Ovis aries: one gene and its partners. The main gene of each other region encodes a partner of the protein of the gene in region 2 in a complex. Links are inferred from orthologs where the notes say so. Each region holds a gene or a part of one and is shown on either strand. Other genes may lie near its edges.

What was found.
Region 1: the proteins of ITGB7 (region 2) and FLNA are in contact, whole or in part, in a crystal structure (PDB 2BRQ), measured with the Homo sapiens proteins. The link is inferred for Ovis aries from reciprocal best matches to the Homo sapiens genes ITGB7 and FLNA. Residues at the interface, in NP_000880.1 of Homo sapiens: Pro776, Leu777, Tyr778, Lys779, Ser780, Ala781, Ile782, Thr783, Thr784, Thr785, Ile786, Asn787, Pro788; in NP_001104026.1 of Homo sapiens: Thr2263, Gly2267, Ala2268, Gly2269, Gly2270, Leu2271, Ala2272, Ile2273, Ala2274, Val2275, Glu2276, Gly2277, Pro2278, Ser2279, Lys2280, Ala2281, Ile2283, Phe2285, Phe2311.
Region 3: the proteins of ITGB7 (region 2) and ITGAE are in contact, whole or in part, in a cryo-EM structure (PDB 8ZJF), measured with the Homo sapiens proteins. The link is inferred for Ovis aries from reciprocal best matches to the Homo sapiens genes ITGB7 and ITGAE. Residues at the interface, in NP_000880.1 of Homo sapiens: Val201, Leu202, Pro203, Ser206, Thr207, Val208, Pro209, Ser210, Lys211, Arg213, His214, Cys216, Pro217, Arg219, Leu220, Glu221, Arg222, Leu255, Asp256, Ser257, Pro258, Thr291, Phe292, His293, Thr294, Ala295, Gly296, Asp297, Lys299, Leu300; in NP_002199.3 of Homo sapiens: Phe36, Leu38, Arg91, His92, Arg93, Gly94, Leu111, Arg113, Leu118, Ser119, Ser120, Leu122, Glu196, Glu198, Arg230, Tyr233, Glu234, Phe237, Glu238, Cys239, Asn240, Ser259, Gln260, Val262, Met263, Leu266, Arg300, Leu401, Gln403, Phe406.

The regions. Positions count from the first base shown.
Region 1 is NC_056080.1:80,094,762-80,098,408, reverse strand, and holds part of FLNA (filamin-A), read right to left. Parts: intron 2,034-3,647; coding exon 1,786-2,033; intron 1,679-1,785; coding exon 1,583-1,678; intron 1,399-1,582; coding exon 1,296-1,398; intron 1,207-1,295; coding exon 1,066-1,206; intron 960-1,065; coding exon 831-959; intron 651-830; coding exon 477-650; intron 375-476; coding exon 213-374; intron 115-212; coding exon 1-114. UniProt on the Homo sapiens protein: Promotes orthogonal branching of actin filaments and links actin filaments to membrane glycoproteins. Anchors various transmembrane proteins to the actin cytoskeleton and serves as a scaffold for a wide range of cytoplasmic signaling proteins.
Region 2 is NC_056056.1:133,285,279-133,287,962, forward strand, and holds part of ITGB7 (integrin beta-7), read left to right. Parts: coding exon 1-3; intron 4-254; coding exon 255-350; intron 351-518; coding exon 519-608; intron 609-1,620; coding exon 1,621-1,770; intron 1,771-2,072; coding exon 2,073-2,266; intron 2,267-2,596; coding exon 2,597-2,684. UniProt on the Homo sapiens protein: Integrin ITGA4/ITGB7 (alpha-4/beta-7) (Peyer patches-specific homing receptor LPAM-1) is an adhesion molecule that mediates lymphocyte migration and homing to gut-associated lymphoid tissue (GALT).
Region 3 is NC_056064.1:24,320,588-24,324,998, forward strand, and holds the start of ITGAE (integrin alpha-E), read right to left. Parts: upstream 2,896-4,411; 5' UTR 2,885-2,895; coding exon 2,803-2,884; intron 1-2,802. UniProt on the Homo sapiens protein: Integrin alpha-E/beta-7 is a receptor for E-cadherin. It mediates adhesion of intra-epithelial T-lymphocytes to epithelial cell monolayers.

The DNA of each region.
Region 1 (3,647 bases), on a different chromosome or scaffold from region 2:
CCCCGATCTCTGATTGGCTGATCACCACTGGAATGGGGCTGCTTGCCACATGCTGCCCATTCTTCTTCACGTGCACCAGGTGTTCTCCTGTCTCCTTGGGCACGAACGAGATCCCTAGGCACAGAGCGGGGCTGTCAGCCAGGGAAAGATATGCAACTACCCCCCACCCAGCTTCCCTCCCTCTCGGAAGGCCCTGCAGCCCAGCCTCTTACCCACGTGGCCGTTACGCAGCCGCTTCAGCAGACAGGGTTCTTCCCGGCCTGAGGGGGGCACCACTGTGGCAGTCAGCAGGCTGAGGTCCGTCTCGGAGATGTTGATGGGGATGTCAGCTGCAGAGCCCACCTTCAGGTGGGACATGCGCATGGAGTCGTCACCTGGCAGGGGTCAGTCACTGTGTGTCCAGGCACCGAGAGGGAGACCGCCCCCCCCCCCACCGCCAGCTGCCTCCTTTGTCACCGCTGCAGGCCGTCCCCTACCTGTGACCCTGGCAGTGAAGGGGCTGCCTGGGATGTGCTGTTCGTTGTACTTGACCAGGATGCTGTAGTCACCAGGTAACACGGGCAGGTAGGAGACACTGCACGTCCCATCCTGGTTGTCGGTGCAGCTGATCTCTGCTTTGGAGGGGCCCTCAATGGCCAGGGACAAGCCCCCTGGAGAGAGTTGTGAGTGAGGGTACAAACTGTGCCCGGGGACACTGCACCAACCATGCAAGCAGAGGCTGGGGGTGGGGTAGGGAGCCCTGTTTGGGGAGCATCTCCTGTGTCCAGCCCCCCAACAGATGACGGCATCCTGCCTCAATCAGGCAGGTCACGATGAGAGGGGCTGCTCACCCTCGCCCGCATCCTTGGTGTTGACGGTGAAGATAGCAGGCTTATTCACCACCCCATGTGTGAGGCCCGGCCCATAGGCTGTGACGTGGCCACAGTTGACATAATCCACGTAGAACTGTAGGGGGCTTCCTGTAGCAGGAATAGGGACCACATGGACCAGGGCCTCCCGTCATCCCCAAGTCTGTCCCACAGCCTGCCCCCCCAGGAGGTGGTCTGGCATGCTGAGTGGACGTACCTGGGATGTGCATGTTGTCATAGCGGATGTCCATCTCGTGCAGGCCAGCTTCACTGGGGGCGTAGCGCACAGTCACGGTGCCATCCTTGTTGTCAGTGATGGCGGGCTGTGCCACCTTGCCTGAGGGCATCCGCACCTCCCCTGCAGGGGAAAGGGGGGCCTGAGTCAGGGCAGCCCATGGGCACCCTCCGGCCTCTGTGGCTCCCTAGCCCCTTCCCAGCTGCACTCACCAGTGACCTCGCCCTTCTTGATGGTAAAGGGGATGACAAGGTCAAAGGGCCTCAGGCTGCTCACATCCAGCCCATTGACCCCCACCAGGGGCCTTTCTGGGGCCTGCGGGGGGCGGAGACACAGAAGGCCTGAGTGAGGAGCTGGAGGGAAAGGGAGTCCCGAGTGATAGGCTCCAGGGTCCCTCCCTCGAAGATAGTGGAACAGGGCCTCACGGGACACCCAGCTGGTCCATCCCCAAGTGTCCCCGAGGGCGGGGGGGGCTTGGAGGCGGCAGGGCAAGCCATACCCAGGTCTGCTGGCCCCCCTGGGCGTAGGTATATGGTGGTGCCAGCTGCTGAGGCCGTAATGGTGGCTGTGCCGTGGGCTGGTCTCCAGCCAGAGCCTGCAGAGCAAGGCACAGAGCTCGAGGCTGTCCAAACCCGCGAGCCCCGTGGGGGCGGCGAGCCAGGTCCCTGCCCAGACCCCCACCCAGCCCCAGTCCCTCCTGACCGTCACTTGGAAGGGACTGTTGGGCACATGTTCACCACCGAAGCGCACGCAGATGACGTATTTGCCGGGCTGGGGAGCCGTGTAGAAAATGTCAAAGGTGCCATCCTCATTCTCAACCACGTCCACGTCCACCTCAGAGCCGTCGGGCGTGCACACAGTGCAGGTGACCTTGCCTTTGCCCGCCGCCTTGGTGTCCACGGTGATCACGGTCTCCTCCCCTATCTGGATGGTGGGGCCGATGCCAGCACCTGGTGGGGCAGGGTGGGTCCCCGAAGGGGGGGCCGGGGCATGAGCTTGGTGCTCAGGCCGTGGCCATTCACGTGTCAGCCGCCCAGGCCTCTTACTGCCAACCACCAAGCACAGCCAGGCCTCCCGCCCCCCAAGCTGGGATGGTGAGTGATTTCTCAGAAGGCAGGAAAGGTTCCCCTGAACCACCTCAAGCCCGGGAGTCCTGTCTCGGGGGGTATCCCTGTCATGTGGGAAAAGCCCAATGGTTGGCATCCAAGAGTCTGAGAAGAAGAAGGGCCTGGAAAGCCCCGAGGCCACTGCCAGGGCCTAAGCATTTGCTGCCATCTCCCCTGCCAACTTGGCCTCAGCCAGTGGTGCCCTGGACCATTCTGACTGACAGCTGAGCCTCGGGCTGCCTTCACCCCTGTGGCCATGCCCTGGCCCCCAGTGCCGTGTGCGGACGCAGTGAGGCAGAGTCCTGCTGCAGCGTGGGGCATGTGACACTTGTTCCCCACCCCTGGGGCCTGAAGTTGCAATCGGAGTTTCCTGACAACTGAGAAGGCTCGCTCGACCGGAGACTTGCAGAGAAGGGGCAGCCGGGCATGGCTTGGTGCAGGCAGGGAACCGGGAGCAGGGAAGCAGGAAGGCAGCGGGGTTAGCACCCAGGCAGTGCAGCGCAGCAGGGGGGCCAGTACCCATAGGGCAGGGAGGCAGGGGGCCCAAGCCAGAGCCACGGCTGCGAGGCGGTGAGAGCAGAGGGGAGGGACAGTGACGTTATGATCTGGGCTCAGCCATGGAGGCTCGGGGGGCTGGGGACCGTGAGGCCTGGCAGCGAGTGCTTTCTGGAGCCTGGCCCCTGCCAGGGAAGCAGCTGGCAACACCGAACCCACCCCAGGGCCAAATTCAAGGGGGTCCCCAGCCGGCCACTTGGCCAGCCCCTGAACTGTACTGTCCACTGAGGGTGCCCACTTTGCGGGGCTCCAGAACACTACGCCTGGACCCCCACCGCCCACCCCCAACTGGGAGGCCTCACCTCATACACAGCCACACCTGCTCTCCCTGGCTCGGAACCTGGACCCACCATCTAGTAAGTGGCCTGGGCCCAAACCTCAGTTGACCCCAACTGCCCGTGCTCCCTGCCCAGCACCCAGCTCTTCATCAGGTCTGGGCTGCTCCATCCTTGAAGCCCCCCACCCCTTGAGGTTCTCCCCTCAAGCCCCACCCACCCACCAGCAGCCTAGCCCAAGCCAGCCCTGCAACTGATACCGAAGTGACTTCGGTTCCCCAACTGGGCTCTTTGCCTCCGCTGGCACATGGCGGCCAAGGTAAACCAAGACCGCTCTCTCGGCCCCAGTCTTGACCCTGCCCCTGGTCCCCAAGGTCCTATCCCCTGGCCCAGGGACACGGGCCTGTCATCTCAGACCCCAAGGCCCCCTGGACGGAGTCATCAAACCCCTGCCATCCTCTAGCTTTCTCCAGGGCCACCTTGGCCAAGGTCCAGGCCTCCAGCCTCCAGAGGCTCCCATGTGCTTGTGGCCTCTTGCTGGCATCCCTGGCTGGGGCGGGCCTCCCCTCCCAGGTCTGGTTGGGGACCATCTGAATAACGTCACTGCTGGGAGGGGCAGGAAGGGAGG
Region 2 (2,684 bases):
TTTGTGAGTCACTACCGTTCCCCACCCTCCCTGTGGGACCCACACCTCTGCTCCTCCCAGAACCTCTCCCTGTAGCCTCACTGTCCTTACGATGGCCACCCCGCCATCCTCCCCAGCAGCTCCTCCTCTTCACGTCCCTCCACTCCCCAGCCCCTCCCCTCCTTCTAGCTGGTGGAACCCTGGAGTTTCAGGGCACCCCCTGCATTCTGTGAGGGGGCCTGGGGTACTCACCTTGTCCCTACTCCTTGCTCCAGGACTACCCCTCCGTGGGTCAAGTAGCCCAGGCCCTCTCTGCGGCAAACATTCAGCCCATCTTTGCTGTCACCAGCGCCACACTGCCTGTCTACCGGGTAAGAGCTGTGTGAATGCCAAACCCTCCCATGCCCAGCCTTTCTCAGCTCCCTCAAAGGCCCATTTTCCCCTCCCGATATGCTCTTCTTCCAGAGTCCCCCCTCCATCCGCAAGCTTATTTCCTGAGAGTTGTGACCCACCATTTCCTTCAACTCCCCCCATCGCAGGAGCTGAGTAAGCTGATTCCCAAGTCTGCAGTAGGGGAGCTGAGTGAGGACTCCAGCAATGTGGTGCAGCTCATCATGGATGCTTATAATGTGAGGGGCTGGGTGGGTGGGGGGCACTGGGGAAAATGGAAAGGGACCCCCAGGTAGGATGGCAGAACCAAGAGGACAATCACCTGTTGGTATCACACCCCACAGCTCCTGCCTATAGTCTGTGTGTGTGGCCGTCATTAACAGCTCAGTCACTCAGTCTTGTACTCATTCATAAATCTTAAATGCCTGATTTGTACAGAGCATGAAGCACTGCTCTGGGCAAGAAAGGGAATTAATATTGATTGAGTTTTTATTTCATGCCAAGCACCATCCCAAGTATACACTGTTTGATGTCTCTTTTACTCCACTAAAACCCCTCCCTGCTTGGAAACTATTTTTCTAGTTTTATCCATGGGGATACAGACGCAGGGAGGAGGCTAAGTGACTTGCCCAAGATCACACAGATAACAGACACAAGGGCTGGCACTTGTCTATACATAAAGAATGTCATATCTGGAGATTGCCTTCACTATAAGCTTATCAATAATTCAGAGATAATCTTCACAGGAACCATAGAATTTTACAGGTAGACAGAACCATAAAAATTCATGTTTCTTGGGGTTAGGTCTTATCTCTGCAACTCGACTGCAGGCTTCTTGATAACAGAGACTGTGTTCTAAACCCATGGTGAAAAAATGTGAGACAATATCAAATTTCCCAGGACAAACTCAACTGAAAGAATCTGCTCTTTAGACCTTGTATGCTCACAGATTACATGTCCAGACATGAGGTTTGAAAAAGCTAGCTACTACGTTTACAGTGCTGGCTAGCCCCTGAGCCCCACCAGGTCTTTGCCGCAGCGGCACTGAGATGCCGTGTTGGAAACTTCTGGACCCTGTGTTCTCGCTCAAGGTCATCCCAGGTCCTTCCTGCAAACTCCTCCTGACTGGGCCGAGCAGAAGGAGCCCCCAGGTGGGCTGAGGGCGGGGTTCCGGCAGGATGCAGAACAGCTGGAGAGGGCCTGAGCTGTAACCAGCCTTCACATGGTCACTCTCTCTCGCTCTTTCCCCAGAGCCTGTCATCCACTGTGACCCTCGAACACGACTCTCTTCTCCCTCCGGGGGTCCGCATCTCTTATGAATCTCAGTGTGGGGATTCTGAGAAGAGACTGGGTGAAGCTGCCGACCGGGGCCAGTGCAACCACGTCCGAATCAACCAGACGGTGAGAAGGAAGGGTGTGGGGTGTGGGGTGGGGGTTGGGGGAATTGAGCAGGCAGGAGGGGATGGGGGGACAGGCCTGGGAAACAATGTAAAAAGCCTGAGGTATCCTCCACCCGTCCTTTCTGAGACACTTTAATGAGCAGCTTCCTCCAATGGTTCTAGGAGATGGGTGTTGGCATGACCCTGTCCCTTCATTCGCTAGGCAGGGTTCTGGATGACCAATGGGTTTGCAGTGTGTGCACGCGCACAGGAGTGTGTATGCACACAGGATCTTAGTATGAATCCCCCCTGCCTTGTCCTCAGGTGAAGTTTTGGGTTACTTTCCAAGCTGCCCGCTGCCTCCCAGAGCCTCATCTGCTGAGGTTCCGAGCCCGTGGCTTCTCCGAGGAGCTGACTGTGGAGCTGCACACACTGTGTGACTGTAACTGCAGTGACGCCCAGCTCCAGGCTCCTCACTGCAGCGATGGCCAGGGGCACCTCCAGTGTGGGGTGTGCAGGTGAGAGCCCACTTCCCTCACCCATATGGCTCCCCCGTACTCCTCCCACCTCACCCTCCATCCCTCCACCCGCGACTGTCTCTAGGTATCTTTTTCGTAGACCTTCCAAGACTCCACCCTGACTTTCACCTCCTGAAGCTTCTTCCCTCCACTCCAGCTCCCCCTGCTCTTCTGCTCCTCAGAACTCCGTTCTAGTCCATGCTCCTCTCAGCCTCTGCTCTCTCTCCAGCTATCTTGAGATCTTAGGTTTAGAGAGTTTGGGGAAAGGCAGGTCAAGACATGGTCAAATTCTCTGATCCCTCCTTTCCCTCTCTTCCCTTCCCCTCCCAGCTGTGTCCCCGGCCGCCTGGGTCGACTCTGTGAGTGTTCAGAGGCTGAGCTATCCTCCCCAGACCTGGAGTCTGGGTGCCGGGCCCCC
Region 3 (4,411 bases), on a different chromosome or scaffold from region 2:
ACTAAAGAACAGAAGGAAATACAAAGTTCCGACTATGCGGTTCTTTCACTCCCTAAGGGAGATATAACCATTTAAAATATGTATGTCTCCAATAACATTGCTTCAAACTATATAAAGCAAAAATTGACTGAACTAAAAGATTTAACAAGTCTTTCCCAGGTATAAGAGCAGACAAAAAAAAAGGAAAAAACCAAACCCAGTAAGTATCTAGAAGATCTGAACAACACAATTAACAAACTTGATATAACTGACTAACAGATAATATTATAGCCAATAATGGCAAAGTAAACATTTTTTTCAAGTACACATGAAATATCAAAATTGACCATAAATGTGCTGGGTCATAAAATAAACTTCAGTAAGTTTCAACAGATTTACATAATCCAGAGTATGTTCTCTGACTATAGTAGAATTAAACTAGAAATTCAATAACAAAGAGAAAGCAAGAAAAATCTGAACTTCTTGGAAAATAAGCATTGTACTTCTAAAGAATGTAAGGTCAAAAATGGAGACCTTAAAATATTTTTAACTGAATGAGAATTAAGATAGGACAAATCAAAACGTGTGTGATACAGTTAACAAAGTGCTTAGAGGAAACACGGCATTATACGCATATGTTTTTAAAAAAAAAGAAAAACTGAAAACTAATTATCTAATATTCCATCTCAAAAAGCTAAATGAAAAGCAAGTCAAACTCGGAGAGGAATATGGAAGGAATAAAGATATGAGCATATCAGTGAAACAGAAAACTAACCTACATAGAGAAAATCAAAGCTTGGTTTTTAAAAAGAGTGATAAAGCTGATAAACCTCTAGCAACACTGATTAAGGAAGAAAATAAAAAGAGAGAAAGAACATAGAAATTACCAATATGAATGAAAAGACCACATTGGAACAGAGCCTAAGACATTTATGAAATAAGAGGATAGTATACACAACTTGGGGCTTCCCAGGTGGCTGTAATGGTAAAGAACCCAGCTGCCAATGCAGAAGACATAAAAGATGCAAGCTCAGCCCCTGGGTCAGGAAGACCCCCTGGAGGAGGGCATGGCAACACACTCCGGTATGTTTGCCTGGAGAAACCCATGAACAGAGGAAACTGATGGGCTACAGTTCATAGCCCAAATAAAGGCAGCCAAATAAATAAAAAAAATAAAATTGATTAGTTAAAAAAAAAAACCTAGCAAATTATTGTGGAGAGAGGGGAGATGTTAGCAAGCCATTTAAAAATATATATGTGAAAATGCAAAGGGCAATATAATTATGACTGATTCGAGTTCTAGGGCAGAAACCAACACAACACTATAAAGCAATTTTCCTCCAATTAAGAAATAAATTAATTTTTAAACAAGGAAGACAGAGCTGACATTTTTTTAAAAAGGAAGAAAGAAAGAAACACAATGGGAAAGAATAGTCAGGTACTCTTGAAGAAGAAGAATAAAATTTTTGGATTTATCATTTATCAATATTATTATAAATTTACAGTTATTAAAACAGAATTATATTGGCATGCTGCTGCTACTGCTGCTGCTAAGTCACTTCAGTCGTGTCCGACTCTGTGCGACCCCATAGATGGCAGCTCACCAGGCTCCGCTGTCCCTGGGATTCTCCAGGCAAGAACACTGGAGTGGGTTGCCATTTCCTTCTCCAATGCATGAAAGTGAAAAGTGAAAGTGAAGTTGCTCAGTCGTGTCTGACTCTTCAACTCTTCATGATCCCATGGACTGCAGCCTACCAGGCTCCTCCATCCATGGGATTTTCCAGGCAAGAGTACTGGAGTGGGGTGCCAAAGATAGACAGATAGATCAATGGAACAAAGAGTCCAAAACATATGGTCACTTGATTTAGGACAAGGGTGACAGTAAGGTGTCACTTACTCTTTCTCAGTAAGGTGAAAGAATGATCTTTTAAATAAATCGTGCTGGGTCACTTGGATATCAACACTGAAAAAAATTAATCTTGACTTATGTTAGACACAAAAAATCAACTCCTGATGAACTGAAGATTTAAATGTGTGTTTAGATGGACCATATATCTACCTATGAAAAGTGAAAAAGAAAGCTTTTAAGAGAAAACAAAGGACCTTGGGGTAGACAGATACTTTTTAAACAGATCACAAAAAAACACTAGCTATAAAGAAAAGCATTGATAAGCTGAACTTCATTAGGCTTAAGAACTGTTTGTCGGAAGACATCACTAAAAGAGTAGAGAGGCAAGCCACAGAGAGAGAGGAGATGTTTGCAATACAAGCATCTGACAAAAGATTCATGTCAGAATCTGTGAAGAGTTCCTACAAATCAATATGAAAAAGGCATGTAAGCTAACAGAAAGAAGGACGTTTCACAAAAGAGACTATCCAGGTGGCCAGCAATCATATGAGAAGTCATCACTAGGCTTCACAGAAAGGCAAACTGAGATCATGCAATACTGAAAAAATGCAAGATCTTATGGGTCCTTGCCCCCTACCCTGACACCTCTGCCTGCCTTTTGTCTGTGGAAAACTTTGGTCAAAGAATAAGTTTTATCCGAGAAGCGAGAAATGCAGAATCAAGGGGAAACTGTCAAAGGAGACTAACTAATAAGAACATAGTCATTAAGCATAGTCAAGGACCTTTAATTCTTTCTCAAGGGCTATAGGTAATGCTCTGAGCCATGTCCTATGAGCTGTCTTCTAGACACACCAGGCAGAGAAGTTAGCTACACGATGACCAGGCTGTACCCAGGACAATTCCTGCCACAATTCCAAGAACTGGCCACAAAGAAATGAGAACAAACGGACCCCGGAACTGAAGATTAACTGTACCTAAAACAGTGAAGATGATACTGGTTAGACCACTGATGACCAATTTGAAGATGACTATCAGAGCTGACTGCGGTTTCTGCATGTAGCACCCACCCCCAACACCCTGTCCTTCTGTCTATAAAAGCTCCTGCCCCACTGGTTGCCGGGGATGGCGGGGAGGGGATTGGACTTTGGACAGACATCCACCTCCCCCCACCCTCCAGCTGCTGGCTTCTGAAATAAAGCAAACTTTCCTTTCCACCTACTTGGCCTGTTTACTGGCTTTTGAGCGGCGAGCAGCCGGACCTCACACACAGTCTTTCAGTAAAAATACCACTACATAACCACCAGAATGGCTAAACTGAAAAAGATAATACCATGTGTTAACAATAATGTAGAGCCATTAGAATAGTCATATACTGCTGGTGGGGGTGTAAATTTGTGTAACCCCTTTAGAAAACTGTTTGGCTATTATCAACTACAGCTGAATATATGCATAACTCGTGACTCAGCGATTCTAGCCTTAGGCATAAATCCAACAGAAATATGTTCATAAATTCATGAAAAGACATGTACAAGAATGTTCACAGCCTCACTATTCATAATAACCCCAAACTGGAACAACCCACATATCTACCAACAAGCTGCAGTATATTCACCAATGGAATACCCTGCAGAAACAAAAATAATTGGCTACAAAGTGGGTAGATCTATGAACACAATGTCAGAGGAAAACCAGTGGGGACGAAACAGAACATGTATGATTTCATGTAAGTGAAGTTCAAAACAGGCAAACGAATCCATGATATTAGAAGTCAGGAGGATGGTTACCCTTGGGGGTAATGACTGGAGGGTCCACAGGAGGTGTTTATGGATGTTGGTGATGATGTTCTGTTTCTTGAAATGGGTATCAGCATGTGGATTTGATTTAATTTGAAAATGCACTGCTCTGACTTTGTTCGTTTTTGTGCGTGACTTCAAAAAACAGCCTACCTTAAAAATTAATAATCGCAGGGGTGAGAAGGAATAAATTAGGAGTTCGGGATTAATACACTGCTATACTCCAGTATTCCTGCCTGGCAGTTACTCCCATTAACAGAAGAGCCTGGAGGGCTACAGTCCATAGGGTTGCAAAGAGTCAGACACGAATGAAGCACACATACATAAAATAGATAAACAACAAGGATTTATTGTATAGCACAGGGAACTATATATATATTCAGTGTATTGTGATAGCCTATAAAGAAAAAGAACGTATATGTGTAATGTCTTATGGGAAAACCTGAAAGAATTTTTTGGCCAACCCAATATAATGGGATCATTTTGCTGTACACCTAAAATTAACTCAATATTGTAAATCAACTATAGTTCAATTTAAAAAACAATAATAATTGCGAGTGTCTGAAACACACTTAATATGTAAAAATTCCAGGGATTCTTAATGATACTTAAAAGACAGTTGTTGTTCGGTCGCCAAGTTGTTTCCAAGAGGAAACAAAAACAAAAGAAATCAAAACACTACATTGTTCACCATCAGCAGTGAAATGAGGGCATTGTCCCCTAACTCTGAAAGTCGACTGTTAAAGGGAAAGTATTAATCTTCTTGCCTTTCCTGTATGCACTGCATTTC